Schizosaccharomyces pombe: one gene and its partner. Changing the gene in region 1 together with any one later gene gives a genetic interaction. Each region holds a gene or a part of one and is shown on either strand. Other genes may lie near its edges.

Region 1 (4,666 bases):
CCAAAGACGTAAAGCTTTTAGCAACTTGAGGAATATGCAACCCGCTTAACAAACAATTGATTGGAATAATTCGTCAATCTTTTAAAGAAAAGAGAAATTTGATAAACAACTTTTCTTAAGGAAAACAAATTAATCCTCCAATAACAAAACAATGAGAAAACAGGCTTGAGTCGCGTACTAGCCTTCCTTTCTTCATGTTTTCAGCACAAGAATAAAGTATTTTATAATTAAATTATTTCAAACATTTTACGGATCTTCTATATGAACCAAAACTTAACAATTTTCTATTCATAGGTCTTGGTGGAAAGTAAAGGTAAAAAGGAAACACTGCTATGTAAACAAACAACTTTCAGGTATATTGTATCGTACCTTGCAAAAGCATAATTATGCAGCTCGTTATTTGCACATGCTTGAAAACTACCGAAACTCAATTGTAGAAATGTAAATAAAACGTTTAAAAACATTATCTTCTTCTTTTGTTCTATGCTCGTAATAGGATAGGAAAAAATGTACCTGTTATATTTTCCTATAATTAAAGAATCTAAAAAAAATTTCATTAGCTACCGCGTAATCGATATGATGGATATACTACTAGTTATTAAACTGCCAAAAATTCATGTTCCTTAGTCTTTAACTAATAAAGTACAATGCATTTTAAATAAGCTGTTTTTTCATAATCAATGGATGATCGGACTACTGTTTTCGTTTCCTATTATTTCTTTCAGTATAATGCATTTGCAATACATCGTTTAATATGTAGCGTGGTTGGACGTGCTATCTTAACTTGATATTTGCGAGACATAAAACAGCGACACTGATGCGTTATATATCTTCTGAATGTAAACAAATGAGCTGAGAGTCCAACTGAATAGTCCCTTATCTTGTGCTTACAATTTTGCCAGAGAAAAGAGAAATTAAACAAAAAAAATTAATTTCACGTATTAAAATCTGTAAAGTCGGAACCTCCGTTTTCTTGAACATCCTACTGACTGTTTCCAAAGACTTGGGGCTATCAAACATTTTCAGTGACATAAAAACCTATCCAAAATAAAGAAGTAAATTACCCTTAAACAATTAGAGTATTGTAAAAAAAAAGGCTCAACATTTTCTGTTGAAAGCTCTGCTGTCTAGTCTGTGATGTCAACTTCAATGTATAGATACTTCAATTTAATCGAATTGTCCATGTTTTGTAAAGCCTATGAAGTATTTTTATCATAAACGTCCTTATGATTTACCAATTGGGAGGCCAAACATAACCCAACCAGTCCTTATCCGTTCTATTTATCACAGGCGACCATATCTCATCCTTGTCTTCATACTCAACAGGTGGGAAATCCCAACACATTCGTACACCAATTACTCTTTTTCCATAAAACTCTCTCCTTTTCTCATCCAGATTGGGAGTATTCGTCTTATAAGTAGGAGTCATAATGCAAGGAGCGCGTTGACTTTCTTCAAATAATTTGGGATATAACAATACACCGGCTTCATAGGACCGAATCCTGAGTCCTCTTGTTGATCTTGATTTTGCCTTGTGACCTTCTAAAGTTCCCCAAGCGGGTTTACTCAAATTAGCACTAGTAACAAGCACCCAACGTAGTAGTTCTCCATCATTCGAAAATCGCATGTACGTTTTAATATGTGGTGCAACTCTTTGTCTACCAGCTTTCATGGCCACCCATTTGCATAAATTCTTACCTTTTTTTAAAGTTTCCACTTGGCTTGCAGCTGTTTTCCCCAAGATGTTGAAATGAATAGAGGAACCAGATTGCCAACCTAACATAGATTGCTGAACTTCTTTCACTGTTGGAAATAAAAATTTCCAATTCCCTCGTTGGCAACCAAAACCATCCGTTAATTCGGCAATGTACTCCTGTTTGGGTCCAAATGAACCCATGGAACTACACTGAGAAATACAAATGTCAGACTCTTCGAATTTAGTTTTCTCGTCCTTCTTTGAATCTTTTTCCAACATCTTTAGAATCTTTTTTAACTTTCCTAATCCCCAAGAGCTTTCTTCCTCGCCTTCGAATTTTCCAGGTACTGATCCAATAAATATTGCTCTGATTGCTGAAAAGTCATACATTTTCAGTTTCTCAATAAGCTCATATGTGTGCCTATAATTCTTCAAATAGGCCAAGAAATCTTGTTGAAATTGTCGACCGATTACACCCAAATCATCGCTACTCCTTGTATCGGACTTATGTTTAAAATTCTCAAAAGCGGAATCTACATCAATAATATCACAGTTTCGATCATCTTTGATGTCAAGGCTTCCCTCATGCTTCCTTATCTTGGATGGATTACCGTATTCAGGAACACTAGAAGTTGAAAGGGAATCGTTCGCTTTAGGATATAGTAGAGGGGTTTTGAAGATGGCTTGAGACATGCCAATCCAATCTGGTTCAACTAAATTGGCTGTGTGTATTACAATTTGGCATGAATCATCTTTGAAAAAATTCACCATAATCTTAGAATGGTGCGTGCCCCACATTGGAACGTAAACACTGTACAGTTTGACATTAACAGGGCAATGGTTCATCTGGGCAGTTAGTCTTGCTAAACTATCAGACTTGGAGTCATATCCATGAGTAATACGGACATCGACAGTAGGGAAGACACTAGCATGCATGTTTTCCAACAAAAAATTAAGGTCGACACAGAAATTAAATTGCCAAGTCTGCTTTAATTGAGGGCTTCCAATGAGCTGTTTTAAAAGAAGACAATGAACGTTTTCGCTTTCCGGTAATGCAGAAATTTTATTTAAGAAAATAGGAGAGTCAATTATTTCATTCGATTTATCTTCATGTTGTCTACGCTTTTCGGGCTCAAGAGTAGACATTTTCGATTATCTTTCAATCATACCATTTACTATAAAATATATGGTTTTTTCTTTTTGTAAATATAGGTATATTATTTGGGAATAAGATATTTGGCCATATGTAAGCAATTGGCTCGTTGTAGGTGCATCAGACAGAATACTTGATTTCAAATTTCGCAAAGAAATATTAAGAAAACGTCAATTAATATGACTTAAAAGTCATTTGAGTTATGCGAATCTTAAATGATGCTGGTTTATTTTCTACAAGGGCGAAACACCGTTCAATTTCTTGAAACTTGTTTACAGATATTCTACAACAGTTTCCTTTTTAGTACAACTATAAACTTGTATTTTAATTGCTTGTTCAATTTTAACAAGGTGGAAACCCTATAAGATGAAACAAACATGTGATTTTTCCATAAACGAAATGATGAAAAGGTTGATGATTAAAAACAGAGTGAAATTAAATGACGATTAATCTAGCTTTCTTCACGAAAAACAAAAACTTCTTGCTACTAACAATGAAGAACTTCTCTATGCACAGATTTAATGGAATTTTTTTACTTGTGATTGGTAATAATCCTCATCATCCGAGTCCTCAAAGTGTGCATCGGCTGGAAGACTAGTATAGGCAACAGGACGGCTTTGCATACGTTGGCGCCTGCTGCGTCGCACACCATATCCAGGAGCGGATCTACGGATTCTGATCTTTGCCATATAAATTTTCCAAGTGTCCTTCCTATAAGCGTAGTATACGAGAGCAACGAGAATAAGCCCCAAAATTACAGACGGGACGGCGATGGCTGCCTTGATATTTCTCCTTGGACCATAGAAAGCTGCATTCTCAGCGGCAGCGGTGGCACTATCTAAATCCTTGGCAAGTAAGATTCTTGGTCCGGTAAGCAGCGTCATATTGTTTTCACTAATAGTAACCAAATCGATGGTGACATTCTGGAAACTATCATCATGAAGCCAACCTTTGTTAGCCTTTAACATTATTTCTCCTGAAAAATAGTTAGCAACAATTAAGTGAACGCTTTTAGAAGCAGAAAATCTATCCGCAAGAAGTAATGCTGAATTCCCGCTCCTCTACAAACGAACCTTTTGAATTTTGAACCTTCTTGGTAGCGGCAATCAACCCGCTATCGTTTAAATAGGAAACTACCATAAGAAGATTATCAACTCCAAAGTACAGAGGATCCCATGACACTTTATACTTGCGACCTTTTACCCAACGATCCCCTTGGTTAGGTGCACACATGGGTATATCCGACTGGATATATTTAGAAGGAACACAGTTGTAATAAGCATTAGTCGGTAAACCTTTTGTCGTGGTGATTGTTTTACTAACAGTGCTTTCAGCCGTAGCCAGGTGAGTTCCACTGACTACAGTATACACTTTCGTAGTCCTCAAGTTAGGATTACCGGAAGACGAGGAAAAATCTATAGGTTAGTGTTATGCTTAGTGAATGAAAAAAAAAAAGAAAATCTGGTTAGCAAACAAAGCAAAAAACTCATTAGAACATACAATCTCCTAAAACTACTTGAAAGAAAAGTGAAAACAGAAACACTGATCCACAAATAACTTTCATTGTAATTTAAATGTATGAATGAAAAACTTTAGTAGGGTTCAGACAGTGATAACAACCCGAATATAGAAAAATGACAAAAGCGGTAATATACGAGGATAAAGACCAATTATGCAGCCAAACAGTATTCCTTTCTTGAAAAATTATTGTTTAAGCTTATATAACATTAATACCAACCGGAATTGCTGATTTCACGAGATACTCATAAATTCCGCTGTGTATTGGCAGCGGAAAGGTTTGAAAATTGAACGACTTT
Region 2 (5,102 bases), on another chromosome or scaffold:
AGCCAAATTACCAAGGAAATTAGAGACATAAATTTTAATTGCATAGGCCCTTATTTAAGCAAAATTGCTCGAAAACTATCCAGCGATTTTGAAGGTCGACGTCAAGCCAAAACTGTAAATCAGATTAGAGACTTCGTTTCCAAACTGGGTTCCTTACAATCGGAGCATACATCATTAAATATTCGTAAGTATTTTTTTCTTTTGATTTCCATAAAAAATTTTATTAATTAGATAGACACTGGTCTCGCTGAAACTTTGGTGCAACACACAAAAAATAATTACTTTCAAAAGCTACTACAACTTCAGCATTTGCTAGTTTCTCATGCCGATTCTTTTACTCAATTCAATTTATTAGATGAAATTATCTATGCCGAAGCACCTGTTGAAGAGGTTTTTCGAGTACTTTGCCTTGCAAGTATAACTACCAATGGTTTGAGAAGAAAAGATATAGATCATTACCGTAGGGAAATCACTCAAACATATGGTTATTATCACCTTTTAACATTCCAAGCCTTGATAGATGCAGGACTATTGCGCCTCCGGCAATCCACTAATATTTCACTTCAAAAATCATTGTCTTATTCTACATGGTTAAACACTTATCCTTTGGTTAAGGACGAAGTTGATGAGCAGAATCCTGAAGATATAGCCTATACGTACAGCGGGTACGGTCCTTTGTCAGTCCACATAGCATATGACATTTTAAAAGGCAGAGACAATGAAGAAAAAATTCTTAAGTTGCAAAATATGCCTGGAACTTACGTTGACAAGTGGACATTAGACCAGGAAAAGGTCATGCCTAAAAATTTGAAGACAAACGTACCAGGTAAACGTCGTGTTTTAGTTTTTTTCATCGGTGGTTGCACGTACACAGAGCTGGCTGCATTTCGTTTATTGCAAGAAAAAGAAGATTTATATGAATTCACATTTATGACTACGGGAATGGTAACTGGAAGCTCTCTAATAAGAGCTTTTATTCCAAATATTGAATCTTTGAATGAGTGATGATCACCCAGTTTCATTAATTTGTTCAACAGCTAAAGACGATATTTAATCTCATTTTTTTTCACTAAGAGAATCCCATAATTTTAATTATTGTTTTTTTTATTAACCCACTTTATTAAGTCCTTAGTAGTTTATGAATTTGAAGTGGCATTAAAGCTTTCCCTATATGCTGTTAAGCTATTTGCTATTTACTGCCAAAATATTAGCTTACATATTAAATAATAAACCTCCAATATTTGGCAGCTAATGGCTTATTGTATCAATCAAATCACCTTTTTTTTGTTTTGGATATTCAGTGGCTTTTGGTATTGTTTACAATAAATGTAAAGTTAAAGCTTTCAAAATTATTAGAGATTACTTTTCTCGTACTGTTAATGGGTTTATTTTGAAATATGCACATTTATAGCTTTTTGCTGCAAGCTTCGTAACATTAAATTTTATTTTATTTGAAAATTCCAGTTTCTCATTTAGCTACTAATTTTTACAAACATTAATTGTCAATATTTGGTTGTCATGACAACGAGTGTACGTACTCAATATTAATCCTTCTTTTACTGTATTATAGATGTATGCAAACAATTCACAATGTCTTCGTCTGGTAAGGTTTCACGTAATTTAACAACATTTGCAAAATTTTTAACAACTGAAAAGATTCAGATTCCGTGTCTTTATCCATTAGAAGGAGGCAAAGACGCGGTTCATCTAAACGGATTAGTATGAAGGAGTCGGACGAAGAGAGTGATAGTTCTGAAGTATGTTCACAACATAATAATTAAAGATTGTTGACTAATTGTTTAGAATCATCCTCTTAGTGAATCGTTGAATAAGAAATCCAAATCCGAGAGTGATGAGGATGATATACCGATTAGAAAGAGACGTGCTTCTTCAAAGAAAAATATGTCCAATTCAAGCTCTAAAAAAAGAGCTAAAGTAATGGGAAATGGTGGTTTAAAAAACGGAAAAAAAACGGCGGTTGTAAAAGAGGAAGAGGATTTCAATGAAATTGCAAAGCCCTCACCGAAGCATAAACGTGTTTCTAAAGCGAATGGAAGTAAAAATGGCGCGAAGTCAGCTGTTAAAAAAGAGGAAAGTGACACAGATGATTCAGTTCCATTGAGAGCTGTTTCGACTGTATCTTTAACTCCTTACAAATCAGAACTGCCTTCGGGAGCTTCGACCACGCAAAATCGCTCACCAAACGATGAGGAAGATGAAGATGAGGATTACAAGTGGTGGACTTCAGAAAATATCGATGATACTCAAAAATGGACTACATTGGAGCATAATGGTGTAATTTTTGCTCCACCCTATGAACCTTTACCAAAGAACGTCAAGCTAATTTACGATGGAAACCCCGTAAATCTTCCTCCCGAAGCAGAAGAAGTTGCTGGTTTTTATGCTGCAATGCTTGAAACCGATCATGCCAAAAATCCTGTATTCCAAGATAATTTTTTCCGTGACTTCTTAAAGGTCTGTGATGAATGTAACTTTAATCACAACATTAAAGAGTTTTCTAAATGTGATTTTACCCAAATGTTTCACCATTTTGAGCAAAAGAGGGAAGAGAAGAAGAGTATGCCGAAGGAACAGAAGAAGGCAATAAAGCAGAAAAAAGATGAGGAAGAGGAAAAATATAAATGGTGCATACTTGATGGGAGAAAGGAGAAGGTTGGTAACTTTCGTATTGAACCTCCAGGGTTATTTCGTGGTCGAGGTAGTCATCCTAAAACTGGTTCTTTAAAGCGTCGAGTATATCCTGAACAAATTACCATTAATATTGGTGAAGGTGTACCCGTTCCAGAACCACTCCCTGGGCATCAATGGGCGGAGGTAAAGCATGATAATACAGTGACCTGGTTGGCAACCTGGCATGAAAATATAAATAATAATGTCAAATATGTCTTTTTAGCTGCAGGAAGTTCTCTAAAAGGACAGAGTGACTTAAAAAAATACGAAAAGTCAAGAAAGCTTAAGGATTATATTGATGATATCCGTAAAGGCTACCGGAAAGATTTGAAAAGTGAGTTAACGGTTGAGCGTCAAAGAGGAACTGCCATGTATTTAATTGATGTTTTTGCTTTAAGAGCAGGAAATGAAAAGGGTGAAGACGAGGCGGATACTGTTGGTTGTTGTTCACTGCGATATGAACATGTTACACTGAAGCCACCACGAACAGTCGTTTTCGATTTTCTTGGTAAAGATTCTATTCGTTACTACAACGAGGTTGAAGTTGATCCCCAAGTTTTTAAAAATCTAAAGATCTTTAAACGTCCTCCCAAAAAAGAGGGTGATTTAATTTTCGACCGTCTCAGTACAAACAGTCTTAACAAATATCTGACTAGCCTTATGGATGGACTTTCAGCTAAAGTATTTCGTACCTACAATGCTTCATACACCATGGCCGAGGAACTTAAGAAAATGCCTAAGAACCTCACCCTTGCAGACAAAATACTATTTTATAATAGGGCAAATAGGACTGTTGCAATTTTATGTAATCATCAACGTTCCGTAACCAAAAATCACGATGTTCAAATGGAACGGTTTGCCGAAAGGATTAAGGCATTACAATACCAGCGGATGAGACTGCGAAAAATGATGCTGAATTTAGAGCCCAAGCTTGCTAAAAGCAAGCCCGAATTGCTGGCTAAAGAAGAAGGCATTACCGATTCATGGATCGTAAAACATCACGAGACACTTTACGAACTAGAAAAAGAGAAAATAAAAAAGAAATTCGATCGTGAGAACGAAAAATTAGCTGCTGAGGATCCCAAATCAGTGCTTCCGGAATCTGAATTGGAAGTTCGATTGAAAGCGGCTGATGAGTTGAAGAAAGCGCTGGACGCTGAACTTAAAAGCAAAAAAGTCGATCCAGGTCGTTCTTCGATGGAACAACTTGAGAAAAGATTAAACAAACTCAATGAACGAATTAATGTTATGCGTACTCAGATGATCGATAAAGACGAGAATAAAACTACTGCTTTGGGTACAAGTAAGATTAACTACATAGACCCGAGGCTTACTTATTCGTTCAGCAAGCGAGAAGACGTTCCTATTGAGAAGCTGTTTAGTAAGACGATTCGTGACAAGTTCAATTGGGCTGCTGATACACCTCCGGATTGGAAGTGGTAAGTCCTCTACGATTTAAGAAAAGTATCTTTCATTGAACTTTTTAAAAAAAAATTATTTATTATCATCCTACGGCAGACAAATTGTGAAAGTGCTTCGTAATTTCGTGACTTAATGATGTCTTGAAATGAATGCTAGCGTACAACAACTTAGTGTGCTGAAAGAAGGAATTAATTACTTCTAGTTTAGTGTTTAATAAAAATTCATACAAAAAATGCAAAGCTAAGGAAGTTTTTTCAGCAAAAATATAGACAGAATAAAATTTAGCACAAAACAAATTGAACGTGACATTTCATACTATCCCCATTGCATTTGGCTTTTTTTTTCATAATTACTGTTTACTCTTGAGGTCTTTTTCTTTAATATTGGTGAAATGCCTGTTACGATCATCAAATTCAATATACAAGCAAACTTACTCTTGTAAACAATTTTTTTTTTGTTTTTTTTTTTTTACAAATAGAAAAGGAAAGAAAAGCCAAGCTGCTGCTTTTTTAATCTTTATACCAATTACTCTTCTTTGGTTGTACTAAATAGTTTTTCAAGCACTTCTATACCATCCAAATTACTTTTTTCTCTAGCGTTTACATTTGACTGCCTTTTTCGCATCTTTAAACCCGGTTTCCACTTTTTCGTTCTCTTTGTCAGATTGGCACAAGTTCCGGTATAGCAGAAATATCAGTGGAAGAGATTTTGTCTCACTATTTGCTGGAGCAATCCAATGCAACCACGAGCGGATACAATCGGGTTGGTAAAGATTAAATTACGTAAAACAAAGTATGAACACACTAGCATTTGGATCCTACCTTCTACGAGTACCTACATTTACTCAACCGGATTCCTAAATATTCATTTTTAGCAGTTTCTCAATAGGAGATAGCCTTAGTTGGAGATTTCTTTTTCTTTTATTTTTTAGAACTGTTTATAACGCAAACTCGAAGGTTTGTTCTTTGAACTCACGATAAGTTTTTTTT

The links. Genes that interact genetically often act in the same process or in processes that back each other up.
Region 2: of tdp1 (region 1) and top1, a mutation in one rescues a mutant of the other (synthetic rescue), as found in Schizosaccharomyces pombe (4 studies listed by BioGRID, with this or other methods).

What each region holds. Positions count from the first base shown.
Region 1 is NC_003421.2:527,349-532,014, reverse strand, and holds tdp1 (tyrosyl-DNA phosphodiesterase Tdp1), read right to left. Parts: upstream 2,953-4,666; 5' UTR 2,843-2,952; coding exon 1,232-2,842; 3' UTR 519-1,231; downstream 1-518. Other genes in the region: protein psg2, read right to left, coding at 3,368-3,825, 3,923-4,264, 4,350-4,413.
Region 2 is NC_003423.3:2,941,069-2,946,170, reverse strand, and holds top1 (DNA topoisomerase I), read left to right. Parts: upstream 1-1,574; 5' UTR 1,575-1,590; coding exon 1,591-1,603; exon of another isoform or gene 1,604-1,656; coding exon 1,657-1,757; exon of another isoform or gene 1,758-1,803; coding exon 1,804-4,134; 3' UTR 4,135-4,437; downstream 4,438-5,102. Other genes in the region: HOPS/CORVET complex subunit, vacuolar sorting protein Vps33, read left to right, coding at 1-184, 236-1,005. UniProt on the Schizosaccharomyces pombe protein: Releases the supercoiling and torsional tension of DNA introduced during the DNA replication and transcription by transiently cleaving and rejoining one strand of the DNA duplex.